Linked DNA regions of Coturnix japonica. Each later gene encodes a partner of the first gene's protein in a complex. Links are inferred from orthologs where the notes say so. Each region holds a gene or a part of one and is shown in the gene's direction. Other genes may lie near its edges. The genes, in order: MMS19 and CIAO1.

What was found.
Region 2: MMS19 (region 1) and CIAO1 share a complex: the UniProt entries of both Homo sapiens proteins name them as parts of the MMXD complex. The link is inferred for Coturnix japonica from reciprocal best matches to the Homo sapiens genes MMS19 and CIAO1.

What each region holds. Positions count from the first base shown.
Region 1 is NC_029521.1:19,483,175-19,487,774, forward strand, and holds the start of MMS19 (MMS19 nucleotide excision repair protein homolog), read left to right. Parts: upstream 1-1,724; 5' UTR 1,725-1,810; coding exon 1,811-1,898; intron 1,899-3,868; coding exon 3,869-3,917; intron 3,918-4,600. Other genes in the region: UBTD1 (ubiquitin domain-containing protein 1), read right to left, coding at 1,320-1,566. UniProt on the Homo sapiens protein: Key component of the cytosolic iron-sulfur protein assembly (CIA) complex, a multiprotein complex that mediates the incorporation of iron-sulfur cluster into apoproteins specifically involved in DNA metabolism and genomic integrity.
Region 2 is NC_029537.1:1,034,614-1,038,925, forward strand, and holds the start of CIAO1 (probable cytosolic iron-sulfur protein assembly protein CIAO1), read left to right. Parts: upstream 1-1,262; 5' UTR 1,263-1,287; coding exon 1,288-1,437; intron 1,438-1,984; coding exon 1,985-2,134; intron 2,135-2,400; coding exon 2,401-2,512; intron 2,513-3,096; coding exon 3,097-3,185; intron 3,186-3,367; coding exon 3,368-3,569; intron 3,570-4,312. Other genes in the region: TMEM127 (transmembrane protein 127), read right to left, coding at 894-1,149. UniProt on the Homo sapiens protein: Key component of the cytosolic iron-sulfur protein assembly (CIA) complex, a multiprotein complex that mediates the incorporation of iron-sulfur cluster into extramitochondrial Fe/S proteins.

The sequences.
Region 1 (4,600 bases):
GCTCCATCCTGGTGCTGTCACCTTTATTGACTGAGAGGTGGCTGTGCCCGTGGCCCCACACAGCAGCAGCCAGGAGCAGGCACAGGATGGAAGAGTAGGTAACACTGCCAGGAAACGAGGTCCTTTAGTGTTAGGGATGGACACATCTGAGCCAGGCAGCACAGCTCCCAGCCGGCACCATCCCCCAGCTCCACTTGCAGGAAAGGGAAGAGGGCTGGTGCTCAGCAAGGAAGAGGAATCCAGGGGCTGCAGAGAGGCACCCAAGCTGACGGTGTGGCAGGGAGCCCAGTCTGCAGGAGCAGGGACAGGCTGTGGCCCAACCGCCACCCCACAGCCACCGGCAGCCCTGGGCAGGTAGGCAGGAGCTAAGCCTCTTCTATTTATTGCTGCCACCCAGCCTGGACCCAGCCTCTAATCATCTTGTGTTGCTCTATTCCCAGCCGTTGTGCAACTCCACACCCTCGGGGGACACGGGGGGTCAGGAGTTGCCCAGCTGTGCTCTCACTCAAACCCAACATGCCGTACCTGCTGCTGCCCAGCTCAGCTCCCTGCAGGGCTGCTCCGGACAGACAACTTCCAGCACCCTGCAGCCCGCAGGGTCAGCCCTCCTATGAGCCACCTATGAGCCGGAGCAGCTCAGAGCCCCCAGCCTCGGGTTGCAGTGCTGGGGGAAGGAGGGGACACGAGGACAGCGAGCAGCACAGCGCACAGATCCGAGCCCTGCTCTGTGTGCCCAGCAGCATCCTGCAGCACCGCCCGCTCCGTGACAGCCGGGCACCGGTCAGTGGGAAAACCTCTCCCGTGAGAGGCCCACGCCGCGGGGTCCCCGCGCCCGGTGCTTCCTGCTCCTCCCCGTGTGGGTGCAGCGGGCGGGCAGTGACTCACCGTGCCGCCCGCCCGGCGCTTGGCGGGGCCCGTTGGGGAACGATGGGGCGCAACGGGGCGAATTGCAGCAGCGGGAGCGCTGCCCCCAGCCCGGCCGGTCCGAGCGAGCGGTGCTGGGGACGGGCCGGGGACACGAGGGGCTGGCGGGGCACCACGAGCCAATCCCGGCACGGGCACCGCGGCACTACGGGGTCACGCCGGGGATGCGCGGCGGCTCGAACCGGGAGCCCGGCACGGCACGGCACGGTACGGCACGGCACCGACGGGGCGCACGGGGAACGAGCGGGGGAATCCCCGGCACAGCGAAGAGCCGGGACGACCCGGGACCGACCCCAACCGGGCGGCAGGAAGAGAACGGCCGGCGGTGCCGTGCGGACAGCTCCAGCACCGGGCACGCCGCGACCGGACGCCCCGCGCCCTGCGGTGCCGCTCACCTGCTCTCTTGCGGGGGCTCCCCGCTGAGGGCCGCTCCCGGCGCTGCCGCCCCACGCAGCCGCCCATGGCCGGGGCTTCACCGACGGCGGCGGCGGCGCGGGCGGCTCGGCATGTGTCCGGCCGGGCTCCACGCCGCGCTGCACCGCGGGCTCCGGCGTCGTCAAACCGCCCCGCCCGACTCCGACCGCCCGAGCCGCCCCGCCGCCAAAGCCGGCCCTGGGCGCGCCCCGCCCCCCACGTGCGCATGTGACCGCCCCGTCGCGGCCGCGGCCCCGCGGGGAGCGCCGCCCACGTGCGCGCGTCCGTCCTGCCCGCGGCTTTTGTCCCTCCCGCGCCGCCGTACAGCGCCGTGCCGCCCCCACCAATACCGGCCGGGGGGGCGAGGTGAGGAGGGGGCGCCGGGGTCGCGCATGTGCCGTGGGCTCATGCCTCGGGGCTGCGCGTGCGCACGGCGGGAGCGCGGCCGGTGTGTGCCGGGGAACGGGCCGACATGGCGGCGGGAGCGGAGGAGCTCGGTGCTGCCGTGCGGGACTGGGTGAGCGGGCAGCACGACGGGCGCAACGCGGAGCTGGCCGCAGGTACCGGGCGGGGCGGGGCGGGGTGGGGTGCGGGGCTGCTGGGCCACGTGTCCGCCAGGTCCCACGAGCCGCACGGCGCTGTGACAGACACACGTGGGATGACGGGGGGATGCCGGCATCGTGCGGCCTCCGTGACCTGTATGGAGTCACGGCTGGAAGCGTTACGGTACAGCACGTAGCGCTGAGGGAAGGACAGGGTTTATTCTGAGCTCGGCGCCTTCTGTGTGACTGTGGGAAGAAACACGTTGAACGAGCTTCCTTTGTGCGCTGCATTCAATGTGCCCTGACAGGTGGGAGGCAGCTCGGTGCTGTCGCAGCTGGGGCTGCGTAAGGCAGCGTGTGTCAGAGGGGCTGAGTGTGCTCCTGTTAAAACACCGGGAGACGAATGACGCCGTTAGAGAAATCCATTGTGCCCGCTGGGAATTGCTGCACTCCCATTGTAAGGGAGCTGGGGAAACGTAAGGAGAAGAAAGTGTATGGAAATGATATATGAAATGTGGCACGTGAAAGGGAGATGTCAGGGAAGGCTGATGGGTTTCAAATAAGAATATAACAAAGGGTAACTTGCTCGCTTCTGTTTAGCCTCACACTCTAGGAACACCACCAGGGCAGGGCAGCCCTTCTGGTAAAGGAGCACACTGGGATACAAGGTGCACAGCTGGAGCTGAGCTCGCAGTTCAGCTGTGCTGCGTGCTGCTGCTGCTCTGCATGCTGCTGGGCTCGTGTGGTTCGCTCATGCACAGTGAAATCGAGCAGACCTTTGAGACCAGAGCGAGGGGGTTCATAGCCACAAGAACACGGGTGGCTGATTGTGGCCAGATCGTTACTCTTTAGCTCTTTCCTATTGGTGAGGTCACCGGCACCTTTGTCTAAATATTGCATTCAGGCTTTGAAAGTGTAGAGCAGGTCAGTGCTCACCTGTGGGACTGGTGTGTCTCTGACCTTTTGCATCATGCAGAGGTCAGAGTCATGAGGATGCAGGAGCTGTGCTCTGGAATAAGGTGGTGGGATCCTAGGTGTGAAGGAGCACTCTGCTTTGTGCTCAAGCACAGTGCCTGCTTGCTACCATGCTTCTGTTTTCCTGCGAGAGGCTTTGCCAGCAGCTCAGTCTCACTTGAGGCACCTCTTCTTCAGCCTGTGGCTGTCCATCCTGCGGCCAGCTGGACTCTCCTTTTTCCTCATGGCTCTCCATGCCGTGCCTCCTATCCTCTTTGTGCCAAGTGGGACTGGAAGTGCTGTCTTTGGAGCCAGGGCTGCTTGCTAACAGAAATTGTGGGCATTTCTTCTTCCATCCACAGAAACTACTCTCCAATGAACAGCACAACTTAATACTGGAATTAACTGCTTTAGAAAGAGACAGTAAATGCTGGCAATAGCAGGATACTCCAGCTGAGGCAAGGCCTGGGACAGTCCCAAATGAAACCTCTGGGCTTTCTGATAGGTGGGTGCCCCACCAATTGTGTAGACAAGCCCTCAGCAGGGCAGAGAAATGGTGAATCCTGGGGACCAAAGGCACGCAGAGCTGTTTTAGTGGGTGAGTGTTGCACTGACTGCAGGGGTAGGAGCCCCTCTGCCGTGGCTTTTGAAGGGTGCAGTAGATTCTCACCAAAGCCTCCTAGGGAGTGACTCTTCCCCCAGTTCAGTTGCAGGAGGTAAGTGAAGCAACCTGGCTGGGGTGCCTGAGTCAGAGCTGCAAATACACTCCAGCAGTCCCAGCACTGTGTCGTACAGTAACCACAAAACCATATTTCTCTGTGCTTTCTGCCTTGGAGGGCATTTGTGCAGGTGTTGCTCAGAGTAGAGGTGATGGAAGCTGAGTGCTTGTTAATGTCTGGGCTGTTTGGCTCAACCACTGCCTTGTTAAGAGCTTGGTTTCTTTTGTCCCCTAGGGAGCATCGGGAGAGCTGCTCTCTGCCTCAATAACTGTCTGGGAGTCTCTTTGGTTCACTCTCTTTATCTCTTTTCTCCAGGGGTGAAAGATGGAAGCTGGACTATTCTGCAGCTTGTGGAAGCCCTGGGGTAAGGAAAGCTGTGTACACATTATACATCGTGTAAGGGCTCTGTGGGGGAGATTCCCATAGTAAGGGGCAGTGAGAAGGAAAAGTGTGTGCTGACATCTCGTCCTGTGCAAACTGCCTTCAGCACCACCGGGCACACAGACACACCACAAGTTTGTTGCCTGCTCACTGCACGTTGCCCTCTCAGGGCATGGGAGCCCTCCAGGAAAGGGCAGGAGGGGCCTGTAAATCTCTCCTGGGACTGAGGAAAGGTGTTGCAGCATGCAGCAAGCCGCAGAGCACATTGCAGCTGAGACTCCCTAGCAGGAGCTGTCTGACCACACAGTTGCCCTTCTCCATGTCATGAGTTGACTGCCGCTCAGCTTTTAGTTCTGTCTCTGAGCTGTCACGGGCTGGGATTGGGGAACCTCATTTCTTTCCAGCTTTGTCTCCTTGTAGCAGGCTTTGCCCTTTTTCATCTCTTGTGATCTTGGGAGCCTGACTTTTGGTTGCGGAGCATGGTGCAAGAGCAATTTCCTTGGTCTGACTTGAGAAGAGGCCTCTTACCTTGGCTGTGCTGCTGTGTGAGACCAGGTGCTCGTGAGCAGCATGGTCAGGGGAGCAGGAGTCATCTCCTACCCTGTGTGCCAGTCAGGCAGCACCATGCTGCTGTCCCCCTGCCTGAAGAGCAGCTCCGTTTCATGC
Region 2 (4,312 bases), on another chromosome or scaffold:
CAGCCCCATAATGACCCATAGGAGCCCCATAGCGGCCCTATAACAACCAATAAGGACTCCATCAGCCTTATAACAACCCCAGACCGAGCCCCATAACGACTCCATAACAAGCCCATATCGAGCCCCATAAGGACCCCATAATGACCCCATAGTGACCCCATAAAAACCCCATACCGACCCTATAAAACCCCATAAAAACCCCATAGACCCATAAAGACCCCATAAAGACCCTATAAGGAGACTCATAATGAGACCCGTAACGAGCCCCATAAGGACCCCATAGCGAGCCCCATAGCGATACCCATACCGAGCTCCATAAGGGCCTCATACCTATCCCATAAGGACCCCATAGCGACCCCATAAGGACCCCATAAGACCCCATAATGACCCCATAAGAACCCCATAAGGACCCCATACCGACCCCATAACAACCCCATACCGAGCCCCATCAGCTCCATACCAATTCCCATACCGAGCCCATAATACGCCCCATACCGATCCCATACCGGCCCCATACTGAGCCCCATAAGGACCCCATACTGAGCCCCATAGGAGCCCCAGACCGACCCCATACGGACCCCCATAACGACCCCATAGCGAGCCCCATACCGAGCCACATACCGATCCCATAACGACCCAATACTGACCCCATAAGGACCCCATAATAAGCCCCATACCGATCCCATACCGATCCAATAAGGACCCCACACCGAGCCCTATAGCGAACCCATAGCGGCCCCATAGCGGCCCCATAGCGACCCCATAGCGGGCCCATAGCGAGCCCCATAGGGACCCCATAAGGACCCCATAAGGACCCCATAACCCCATAAGGACCCTATAAGCCCCATAAGGACCCTATACCGCCCCACTCTCCCCGCTCTCCCGTTTCTCACCCCTCAGCAGCTCGGTCCTGACGGTCCCCATCACATCGGCCACCCCCAGCTCCTGCCGCCCGCAGGTCCCGCCGTGGATCCGGAGCCAGGCGGGTTCGGCCAGCGCGGTGCAGAGCGCGGTGATGGACAGAGCCCCGGGCAGCGCCGACGCCAGGCTCCGCTCCGGTTGTTTGGGCAGCGCCCCCCCCCCGCCGCCTCCCGCCGTTCCCCGCCGCCTCCCCCTGCCGTGCAGCCCGGGCCCGGCCGGGTTGTACATGGCTGCGGCCCGAACAGCCGGCACCGCCTCAGGCCGCGGGCTCCGCTTCCGCTTCCGGCGAGCGCGGCGGTGACGTCACTAGGGCGGCAACATGGCGGCGCTTCCGCTTCCGGTGTGACGTCATTACGGTGCGACGCGATGAAGGAGGCGCTGGTGCTGCAGAGCCGCGTGGCGGCGCATCCCGAGGCGCGGTGCTGGTTCCTGGCGTGGAGCCCAAACGGGAACCTCATCGCGTCCTGCGGCGGGGACCGGGCCGTGAGAGTGTGGGGGCGGGACGGTACCGAGGGATAACGGGAACGAGGGGGATAACGGGGCGGAAGGAAGGGGCGGGGCCTCAAGGGTGGGGGCGGGGCTAAGAGAGGGCGCAGCCAATGGCTGACGAGTAGAGGCGGGGCTAAGGGAGGCCCCAGCCAATGGCTGATGAGTAGGGGCGGGGACAATGAATGGGGGCGGGGCTATGAGAGGGAGCGGCCAATGGGTGACGAGTAGGGGCGGGAACACGGTGAAAGGGGGCGGGGCTAAGAGGGTCGTGGGCGGGGCTTAAAGGAGGGGGCGGGGCTAAGAGAGGGCGCAGCCAATGGCTGACGAGTAGAGGCGGAGACATAGTGAATGTGGGCGGGGCCAGATGGTGGTGGGAGGGGCTTAAGGAAGGGGCGGGGCTAAGGGAGGGTGTGGCCAATAGGAGGCGGAGCCGAGAGGGTGGGGTAAAAAGGGCGGGGCCAGAGGAGCGTGGGAGGGGCTTAAAGGAGGGGGCGGGCTTAATGGCCCTAATACACGTGGGTGGGGTGGGGGCTGGGCTCCTATTGGGGTCCCCCATCCACCCCCCCCCTATTAGGGTCAGCTGGAGGCTTGCCGTGCTGTGCTGTCTGATGGCCACCAACGCACAGTGAGGAGAGTGGCCTGGTCGCCCTGTGGCTCCTATTTGGCCTCTGCCAGCTTCGACGCCACCACGTGCATCTGGAAGCGCTGCCAGGACGGCTTCGAGGTCAGACCCCCCCCACAGCCCCATAACACAGCCCCATAACCAGCCCATAACCCAGCCCATACCCAGCCCCACAACCACCCCATAACCAGCCCACCCCCACAACCAAGCCCACAACCCAGCCCACTAACCCAGCAACCCCCATAACCAGCCCCATAACCCAGCCCCATAACCCAGCCCCATAACCCAGCCCCATAACCCAGCCCCATAACCCAGCCCCATAACCCAGCCCCATAGTGGCGCCCTGCAGCTCCTTGTGCCCCCCACAGTGCGTCACCACATTGGAAGGACACGAAAACGAGGTGAAGTCGGTGGCCTGGGCGCCGTCGGGCAGCCTGCTGGCAACGTGCAGCCGGGACAAGAGCGTGTGGGTCTGGGAAGGTGAGGGGGGGAATGAGGGGACCCCAAGGGCATCGGCCCCACTGTGTCCCTGCTGTCCTCAATACTGCCCCTTCTGGCCCCATTGCTGCCCCTTCTGCCCCCTATACTGCCCCTTCTGGCCCCATTGTTGCCCCTTCTGCCCCCTATACTGCCCCTTCTGGCCCCATTGCTGCCCCTTCCATCCCCACTGTGTCCCTTCTGGCCCCATTGTTGCCCCTTCTGCCCCNCCCTTCTGCCCCCTATACTGCCCCTTCTGGCCCCATTGCTGCCCCTTCCATCCCCACTGTGTCCCTTCTGGCCCCATTGTTGCCCCTTCTGCCCCCTATACTGTCCCTTCTGGCCCCATTGCTGCCCCTTCTGCCCCCTATACTGTCCCTTCTGGCCCCATTGCTGCCCCTTCTGCCCCCTATACTGCCCCTTGTGGCCCCATTGCTGTCCCTTCTGCCCCCTATACTGCCCCTTCTGGCCCCATTGCTGCCCCTTCCATCCCCACTGTGTCCCTTCTGGCCCCATTGTTGCCCCTTCTGACCCCAATACTGTCCCTTCTGGCCCCATTCCCTCATGGAAGGTGTTTTTCCCCGCAGTGGATGAAGAGGAGGAATACGAGTGTGTCAGCGTCCTCAACTCTCACACTCAGGACGTCAAGCACGTGGTGTGGCATCCCAACCAGGAGGTGAGAGCCCAGCTCAAGGGCAGCGGGACCTGCGGGCATCACTGTGTGTGATGGGAAAGGATCTGAGCCACAGGGCCATAAGGAGTCAGTGCTCCCAAGAGATGGGGTTTGAATGGTCCTCTATGGGGGCAGGGCTTTGCAATCCCTGTGGGTTTGGGGTGTTGATCCCATTCCTGTCCCAGCTCCTGGCTTCAGCCAGCTACGACGACACGGTGAAGCTGTACCACGAGGAGGAGGACGACTGGGTTTGTTGTGCCACGTTGGAGGGTCACGAATCCACCGTGTGGAGCATCGCGTTCGATGGCAGCGGGCAGCGCCTGGCGTCCTGCAGCGACGACAAGACCGTGCGCATCTGGCAGTGCTACAAGCCGGGCAATGAGGAGGGTGAGCTCCTAACACAGCTCCTTGCTGGGACTTGGATCACTCAGTGCTGTGTTGGATCACTCAGTGCTGTGTTGGATCACTCAGTGCTGTGTGTTGGATCACTCAGTGTTGAATCACCAGTGCTGTACATTGGCCATCAACTCATGCTCGTGTTGGATCACTCATGCTGTTGTGTTGGTATCTATCTCAGTGCTGTGTTGTGATCCTATTCCAGGTGCCTGTGTGGTATCACTCATTTGCATGGCCCGTGTGTTGATATTCCACTCAGGTGCTGTGTTGATCCATTCAGTGCTGTGGTGTGTTGTATTCACTCAGTGCTGTGTTGGATCACTCAGTGCTGTGTGTTGGATCACTCAGTGCTGTGTTGGATCACTCAGTGCCTGTGTGTTGGAATCACTCAGCTGCTGTGCTTGGATCCTCAGTGCTGTGTGTTGATCCACTCAGTGCTGTGTGTTGGTTACAGCGTGCTCTCGGTGCTGTACTGATTGGATCACTCAGTGCTGTGTGTTGGTATCATCCTCAGTGCTGTAACACATTGATCACTAAGTGCGGTGTGGATCACTTCAGTGCTTGTGTGTTGGATCACTCAGTGCTGTGCATTGGATCACTCAGTGCTGTGTGTTGGATCACTCAGTGTTGGATCACTCAGTGCTGTGTTGGATCACTCAGTGCTTACATGGATCACTCATGGCTTGTGCATTGGATACACTCAGTTGCTGCTGCATTGGAATCACTCAGTGCTA